Linked DNA regions of Zea mays. The protein of the gene in region 1 binds, or shares a complex with, the protein of each later gene. Links are inferred from orthologs where the notes say so. Each region holds a gene or a part of one and is shown in the gene's direction. Other genes may lie near its edges. The genes, in order: 50S ribosomal protein L13, chloroplastic-like; 50S ribosomal protein 6, chloroplastic-like; 50S ribosomal protein L31-like.

Region 1 (3,751 bases):
CACATCTCGTGATCAGCTCAGTTTTCCATACGTTTTGTGGCGGCTAAACATGCATGGATTGAGCATGTTTCCTGTATGCACTCGCAGGGATCTTGTGAATAGTTTGGGTCACACAAGGAAAGTAAAACCTCTTACACAGACAAATTCAGGGTCTTCTACTACTTCGTAACCTTCCTCCCAGTTCATTTGCTGGTAGCCAACTAACCATTGATTTACATATGGTTCTAATCGTCGATACTCGACATCTCTGGTTCACAATTTTGTTGTTGTATATTATCATCTTTGCGTTCTTCCTGCGAGGGAATCCTGGATCTGAACCAGAAACACGTTAAGCTGTTGCTTCACTGCAACGCAATCACACGATGTTGCCACTATATATGTAAAAGATATGCTTTCTTTGGTTAGAAGAGAATGAACACTTTTCTGCCTCCTTTCCGTTTCCTGATGGAACATGTGAAAATGGTGTCCGTTATCAATTAATTCGGCTTCTGCTGCTGATGGTTGTCGCGGAAACTAGCAGCAATGGAAGTTCTGTTCCCGTCATTTTATTTGGACTCGAGAATTTCTCTGATTACCGATGTTTCTAATTGGTACTTGAACAGCGGAATCGTTTGAAAAAAATATGGTCCTGTCTGAAGCTATATTTTGTTAATGCAGCTCCCTTTGCCCAATAGTAATACATTGAATTTCTTTTTTTTAGATGGAATTATGGAACCGCCATTATTCTGAGTTTGGGAAGAGTTTCAAAGGAAGCGTTTAAATCTCAGATGAGCTGATAAGGTGTCGTAATGGGCCAAATCTGCATTTCGTTCTGAGCCCATGAAGCCCATATGTTCTTGTTAACCTTTCCCTGTTCTTTGTCTCCTATCCCCTTATCCGCTTGACGCTCCCCACTGCGCCTAAAAATGGCCGCGTCCCACTGAACCAACCGTCTGCACATCCTCCTCCTGTTGCCGCTCGCTCGCCGTGCCGCAATGGCTACGGCCGTCGCCTCCCATACGTTGCTCTCCTCCGCCTTCGCCCCGCGCCACTACCACCGCCGCCTGACCCGGACCGCGTCCGTGGGGCCGCGCCGGGCCGCCCCGGTGGGACTGGCCGTGCGGTGCGAGAAGAGCGACAAGCAGAAGAGGCAGCCGCTCGCCGCGCTCGTGCCCCGCGAGCAGCGCTTCATGTTCGAGGGAGACGAGCTCTGCGGCCCCGTACGACGCTCTCTCTTCCTCTCTTGAAACAATGTGCACATTTTCACAGCTCGTTTTGCAGGATTGTAACCCTGGACTGACAGTGTCCATCCTATTTTGTTCATGTTTCACCGTGGCCATCTTAATCCACCTCAGAGGCTTCGACTATCCTTTTATGTGCATGATGAAGGGCAATCAAGTTACAATAGAACTGCGTACATTATATATGTTATCTGCCATGTGCCATCATATCCAAAATTACCCATGGGCTGTTTGTGGTGAGAGAGAATTCATTAAAAATGAGCTTAATTGGACATGCAAGTCAAAGTGAACTGATGGTTGCCAACCAGCCTGTTCATAATTGTGACTTGTTTAGGATCAGTTACTAATACTATGGGTACAAAGTGAATGGTTTGTTTGTACTATGCCTTGTTCTTTCTTCTAATGAATTACTCCACAAGTAATTGTGTCTACTGAAATCTGATTCAGTGATTTAATTTGCAGGACATATGGAATACAACCTGGTATCCTAAGGCTGCAGATCATGTAACTACCGAGAAGACATGGTATGTTGTTGATGCAACAGACAAGATCCTAGGCAGGCTAGCATCCACCATTGCAGTACATATCAGGGGAAAGAATGAACCCACTTACACTCCTAGTGTAGACATGGGAGCTTTTGTTATTGTGGTAAGCGTTCTCTCAATACCTATAGTGTTTGGAATCCCTACAGTTAACAGGTAGCCAGCTAACAAATTGTTAGCTGGGTTGAGCCAGCTAATGAACTAATTGTTAACTGTGAGTTAGCTAACAATTAGTTGTGGGTGTTTGGAACCTGTATAGCTAATTTTAGCAGCTAACTATTAGCTGTAGAGGTTCCAAACAGGGCCTTAGTATACATGCTTTACTTCCCTCAGATTATTTGGTACTGAGGTGAGTAACCTTCCTCAAATAATCTTCAACTGTAGTTGTGTTTAATGTTTATGTTAGCATAGTCCTTTTGTGACTGGTGCATCTCTAAAGGCTCATTACCACGTATTCCCTCAGTTCCAAGTTATAAGACTTTTTGGATTTTTTTTGGATCCATTACTTTTGCTACGCACTTAGACATAATTCATGTCCAGATATTTAGTAACAACTATGTATCTAGAATTACCAAAACATCTTATAATTTGGAACAGATGGAGTAGATGATATGCATTATTGTGTTACACTACAATGCTGAGAGTCATTAACAACCTTTTCTATTCACATAGGTCAATGCAGATAAGGTTGCTGTTTCTGGTAAAAAGCGGTCACAAAAGCTTTATAGGAGGCACTCCGGAAGGCCTGGAGGGATGAAAGAAGAAACTTTTGACCAACTTCAGAAAAGAATTCCAGAGAGAATCATTGAACATGCGGTTCGTGGCATGCTCCCCAAGGGAAGGGTAAGAAAAAACATCTACTAGCTGATTGCCTCAGGTCTACATGTTCTCTTTCTCGTTTTAGTGCGCATGTTATAATGTATGCCAAATATGAAAATGACAACCAAATTTCCTGGTGACCTTTATTTTAAGGTCCCAAAAATTACAATTTGGTATTAGTTAGCAGATGTGAATTTTTTCTTTTGAGATTGAGAACTACTATAGTTAATGGTGAGGCCTTGTTCGGTTATTTCAATTCCATGTGGATTGGTGTGTTGGGATGGATTGGGATGGATTTTGACTTGCTATGGATTTAAACCGACTCAATACCACTCAATCCACATGGATTAACGGCGAAACGAACAAGCCCTGAAGTGTATTGCAGTCAGAACATTGCTCATGCATCAGCATGTACCTCCCAGTGAAAGCGTGACATTCAGAATAAATCACAGTACTAAATTCAAGGGAATGTTGTTATTGAACAAAATTAACAAGTCCAGATTGAATTAGTTAATTATCTTGCCGATCTTTTTTTTTCTAAGTTCGCAAAGGTGTGTTGCATGAACTCCATAAAAATTGCCTATTAACCTTTTTCTTGCAAATTGCTTCTTAGTTCAATTGTTTGGTAGTATGGATGCGTTTACTGAAACTCACATTATGGCAGGCAAATATCTTGTTATCTGAAGCATCCCCCCTAACCATTCCATTTTTCTTGTTGATGGCAAATTTGATTTAACTTAGTTTTGTTATGTGCTATATACTTGTTATATTTACATTTATATGCTCACCTTTTTTGCCAATTTGCAGCTGGGAAGAAGATTATTTACCCACCTCAAGGTATACAAAGGGACAGAACATCCGCACGAGGCTCAAAAACCTGTCCCACTCCCGATCAGGGATAAAAGAATACAAAAAACTGGATAGAGAATTCATCGACTGAAAAGGATGCAGTGGCGAATTCCTCCCCAGAAGGTTTTGCCCTTTGTTTGGAATGCTATCCTCATAACCATGCCTCTGATCGGGGAGGGGGGGGGGGGGAGTATAAATCCTCTTTGTAATTTTGATGTTTACCAATGCATGAAATTCAGTCAAATTTCTGTCAATGAGTAGTCATGTAATATGGTACGGTTTAAATCAACCTAAAATCTTTATTTTCCAGTTGAAGTTTGT
Region 2 (2,552 bases), on another chromosome or scaffold:
CAGATGGTGACCAAGAAATGTGAGCAGACTCCATTTCTCTATTTCTTCTATCGGTCCTGAAGTACTTATTTCTTTTCTGATGGATGGATGAATGGATGATGGTTCATTAATGAGTACTTGCCGATGTGGTGATGTCTGAAATCTAGATAGTTTGTGTTACATGTTAGTACCTAGTTATCCCTTAAGGGCTTGTTCGGTTACACGAATCCAGAAGGGGATTGGAGGGGTTTAAATCCCCTCTTAGGGCTGATTTGGTGACCCGGGATCCCGGGAGGATTGAAGGGGATTGAGGGGAAAATTAGTTTATTTCCCCCTCAATCCCCTCCAATCCTCCCGTGATCACCTTGTCACCAAATCAACTCGGTTGATTTGGTGACAAGGTGATCACGGGAGGATTGGAGGGGATTGAAGGGGAAATGAACTAATTTCCCCCTCAATTCTCTCAAATCCCGCCGTAATCTCTGGTCACCAAATCAGCCCTTATTGGCTAGTTTGGAAACTCACATCCTCTTCGGGATTGAAGGGGATTGGAGAGGAAATTAGTTCATTTCCACCCCAATCCCCTCCAACCCTGAAGGGGATTTGAGGTTCCCAAAGTAGCACTAAGGGTTAGTTTGGAAACTCAAATCCCTTCAAGATTGAAGGGGATTGAAGAGAAAATTAGTTTATTTCTACCTCAATCCCCTCCAATCCCAATGGGGATTTGAGGTTCCCATTGACTAGGAGGGGATTTAATACCCTCCAATCGCCTTCTGGATTGGTGTGCCTGAACATGCGTTAATTGGAGATGGGGACCCATTGGGGACCCAAAACCCGAATGAGGATGAGTATGAGATGAATTTTGCACCCATAATGGGTATGAGGATGGACTAAATATGATAGGAATGAGTTTGGGATGCTATAACCCGATGGAGAATTCTCCATTAACATCTCTAGATGAGTTAGAGATAGCTTTAGAAGTACAAGCTAGTTGTGCCGAAACATTTTTCAACAAAATTCGGGAGACAACTGATCGTTGTACCAAAAGAAATATATTATGTACCCGTGAGCCTCATTTTGTTTTGTTGAAGCTTCATCAACGGCACATCTTAGACCACGGAATTTTATAATATAAAAAGGTGACATGGCATTTTATGATAAGAAGAGGGCAGGGGACTAAACAATTACAAGTTTTTTTTAAAAGAAGTGGAGATATAAAAAAGGAAAAACACTCGATGAGTGAGCGGTCAGATGATCGCACATAGTGTGGGCCAGATTTCGCTCAGCGTAGCAAATCCCGCAATCACAAAACCCAATCCGAAACAGTCCTCCTCCCATCTTATCCCAAACACAACCCACACTACTACCCTACCCGTCCGCCTCTCTCGAAAGCGCAGCACCAGCGAGCATGTCGCCTGTCACCGCACTCCTGGCGGGCACGGTGGTGCCGCCGGCCTCGGCCCCGTCGCCAGCGAGGCACGCCCGCCATTACTCCGTCGGCTTCTCCCCGCTCCACGGCGGCGGGCGCGCGGCGCTGGCGGTGGAGTGCTCGTCGCGGCCGCAGAAGAAGGGGACCAAGCACCACATGAAGACGCGGCCCAAGAAGACGCAGCCGTGGGACATCAAGCGCCGCCCCACGCAGTACCCGCCGCTGCCGCCGCTCCCGCCGGACTGGACGCTCGTCGCCTCCGGCGCCACGGTGGACGTGGAGGAGGCGGAGGCCCCGGCACCCGCCGCGACTCTCGTCCTCGACGTGGCCGCGGCCACCGACTGAGGCCGCCGCGGCGTGTCGCCAAAGTTGTTCCCTTGAACCTCCGCATAAGCTGTTTTTCTTTGAGATTTATTATATAATAACAATGGCTGCCCAGATTTTGTGATTATAAATTAAGAATCTTTCATTGCTGTCCAGATTGTGGCTGTCACCGCGTCCAATTTAGTGCGTTGCTAGATGATTTCTTGGTTGCATGCTGTGTGCAACGCTTATTCCATGCCGTCAGTGGCAGTGCAGACTGCAGAGTGATTAGCTACTCCATCTCCATAGTTTGCCAGTTAAGTTATGATGGGATATGGATTACGCAAATATAGTCTTCAAAAGGGGGGGAAAACAAGCAGCCCAACGAAGACATCTGCCTCTTGTTTGACTTTAGGAGCTGGCTCTGTTTGATTTGGACAATTGCCTGATATTGGGGAAGGTTCGGTAAACAGTAAACTCAGCTTAGATGGCAGGAACAGCCATTGAACACTGCAAATGATAGGAAATTTTAGAAGTAACCTAGTTGTTTGTAATGTTGCTTTTGTTGGAGCATGATTGTGCGAATTCCATATGCTACCTGCCTACCTAGGGATGGCAATGGATACGGGTATGGGTAAATAACCGCGGATAATTATCCATTGGATATGAGTATGGTGGAATTTGATATCCGCGGGTACGGTTATGGATATAATAGGGTATCCGTGGATATTTTTTTCACGGGTATGGATATCCAGTATCCATACCCGTTACCCAATGGATATCTAACACGTGGGCTATCCGGATTTATATATTACCATAAATTCTTATTTTTCAATTTTTA
Region 3 (2,302 bases), about 19 Mb from region 1:
TCTCTATCTATTACTTTCTAAATATGTTAAATTTTAATTAACATGACGCTAGTTTGAGTAGGACCATTAGTGATGACACATTTAATTGGTGAGTTATGTTGGCTTTTTTATTTACTATCACAATTGTTTATTCGTTTATTTCTAACATGTGCACGTGCGGCTATTGCATTGGCAATTGGTTAATCTCTAGTTGACTACCTGCCACAATTTTACATCGTCGGCGTCCGACGAATGTGCTCTGTTAATATATCTCTACTACAAAGTGAAAAAACACCAAAATACAAAAGTTATCGTCAGTTTTTTGTTTAGGAAGTTGATAAATGGTTGCTAAATGTAGGGAGAAATTGAGATTAGATGAGAAGTAGCTAAATTTAGAAAATTCATTTAAGAGAGTTGTTGGAGATGAGTTTTTAGTTTAGCTACCTAAATTATTTATTGATTTAAGGAATCTTTTGGAGAACTACTAGAGTTGCTCTAATAGAGTTGCTCTAAATTATTTAATTTTATACTCTTAAGAAAACCGTAACAACTGTAATTGTAGTTTGCATATCATTCCTTAATTATATTTAAGTCAGACTCTACACGGCATGCAACTTTCTCTTCTTTTGGCCCACTAATTCAACCAACCATCTACCAACACTTTCATTTCTGGTGGTGTACTTTCTTCGACGTTACATCTATGAAAGAGAATTTTGATCCGAAATGTTTCGATAAATAAAAAACCGCATAGCTATACCTCTTTAGTATAGCTGGCCGCCAACTGGAAATAACTGAAGGAGAAATTGGGCACTGGATTTTTCGTGGGCCGTCGCATTTCCACGTAGCCCAAAACAAACCACAGACAGACTTTAATGAACATATAGAGCCCAAACAAGCCTAGACAACGCTACCTAAAGAGAGAATCGACGAGCGCCAGAGGATAACATTAGCAAGGCGATAGATAAGAGGAAGGAAAGAACATAGGCAGCCGAAGCGACTGTCGCGAGGCAAGGCCATCGTCCGCCATGACGCTCTCCCTCTCCACCTCTTTCCTCCCCATCCCCGCCGCCGCGAGGACCACCGCCCGCACCCTACGCTCCGTCGTCCCCTCCCAGGTACGCACGTTCGTACACACCGGCCCTCCCTCTCGCCATTCCTGCACGGATCTTCGTCGTCGCCGCCGCTAATTCCTGAGTCCGGAACCTGGACGGCGCGGTGCAGGGGATGCGCTGCTCGATGCGCAAGAAGGGGTTGCACCCGGAGATCTACGAGGACGCGAAGGTGTACTGCAACGGCGAGCTGGTGCTGGTGACGGGGGGCACCAAGCCGGAGTACACGGTGGACGTGTGGTCCGGAAACCACCCCTACTATGTCGGCGACACCTCGGCGCTCGTGGTCATGGACAGCCAGATCGAGAAGTTCCGCAAGAAGTGGGGCCACATCAAGGAGTACTGGCCCGAGGACCAGTGGAGGGAGATGCACCCAGACGGCGACCCGGAGTTCGAGCCCGAGGGGGACAACTGATTGATGGCTCCCCGTCTTCCTCACCCGGTGCGTGGTCACCGGTCCAGTTTACATTTGCCCTCTTGAATGGAATCGAGACTCTGTCTGTTCGCATTGCTCTCCAGGTGTTCGGTTAATGTTCGGAATGGAAAATGTACAATTACTACTACTTCACGAGATAGGGTCTTGTTGATCATGGGCCCCCAAATACAATGTGCTTTCTGCAATGCACTCTAGGGTAGGATGGTATTGATCAAACAAGCAAATGATCCTGGTTCGAGGAAATGGATATTTCTCACTAGGAGTATACGCTGATGCTTGACTACAGCTTGAGTCGTCTGCTGATAACCTGATACCGCATACTGTTTGATCAAACTAGCCTCCTGTTGCTAGGTGATCCAATTTCCGAGTCATAGTTTTATACAACCAATTTTTCCATGCGACTGAACTAATTGAGTGTCCATGTGTTGCATGATATATAAAACATGTCGTGACATACGGCCATATGGGTGGAATAGAATATTTGTAAAATCTCATGCCATTACAAACAATTAGCACCAACATATAATTCAAGCTAATTTCTATAAAATAAAACAAAATGACTATAATATTATTGGCTTAATCTAGACAAAAGAAAAGTAAGTAATTTTATTTTGTTATTAATAAACCGTTGAAGATAATATCATACACTAGCTCTGATTCACTCTATTTCCTACGTTGATAGAAAATGTGGCGGAAATAAGAATAGATAGCGACAAGCAAATAGATACTCCCTCCGGTGTTATATTATTTGTCGTTTTGGATAATGTTCGAGTCAAAC

What was found.
Region 2: 50S ribosomal protein L13, chloroplastic-like (region 1) and 50S ribosomal protein 6, chloroplastic-like share a complex: the UniProt entries of both Arabidopsis thaliana proteins name them as parts of the 50S ribosomal subunit. The link is inferred for Zea mays from reciprocal best matches to the Arabidopsis thaliana genes emb1473 and PSRP6.
Region 3: 50S ribosomal protein L13, chloroplastic-like (region 1) and 50S ribosomal protein L31-like share a complex: the UniProt entries of both Arabidopsis thaliana proteins name them as parts of the 50S ribosomal subunit. The link is inferred for Zea mays from reciprocal best matches to the Arabidopsis thaliana genes emb1473 and emb2184.

What each region holds. Positions count from the first base shown.
Region 1 is NC_050098.1:202,898,061-202,901,811, forward strand, and holds the start of 50S ribosomal protein L13, chloroplastic-like, read left to right. Parts: upstream 1-868; 5' UTR 869-974; coding exon 975-1,199; intron 1,200-1,682; coding exon 1,683-1,868; intron 1,869-2,434; coding exon 2,435-2,605; intron 2,606-3,388; coding exon 3,389-3,505; 3' UTR 3,506-3,751. Other genes in the region: uncharacterized protein LOC100285659, read left to right, coding at 1-169.
Region 2 is NC_050099.1:216,898,199-216,900,750, reverse strand, and holds 50S ribosomal protein 6, chloroplastic-like, read left to right. Parts: upstream 1-1,315; 5' UTR 1,316-1,387; coding exon 1,388-1,753; 3' UTR 1,754-1,887; downstream 1,888-2,552.
Region 3 is NC_050098.1:221,940,487-221,942,788, forward strand, and holds 50S ribosomal protein L31-like, read left to right. Parts: upstream 1-946; 5' UTR 947-1,004; coding exon 1,005-1,094; intron 1,095-1,200; coding exon 1,201-1,503; 3' UTR 1,504-1,796; downstream 1,797-2,302. UniProt on the Arabidopsis thaliana protein: Binds the 23S rRNA.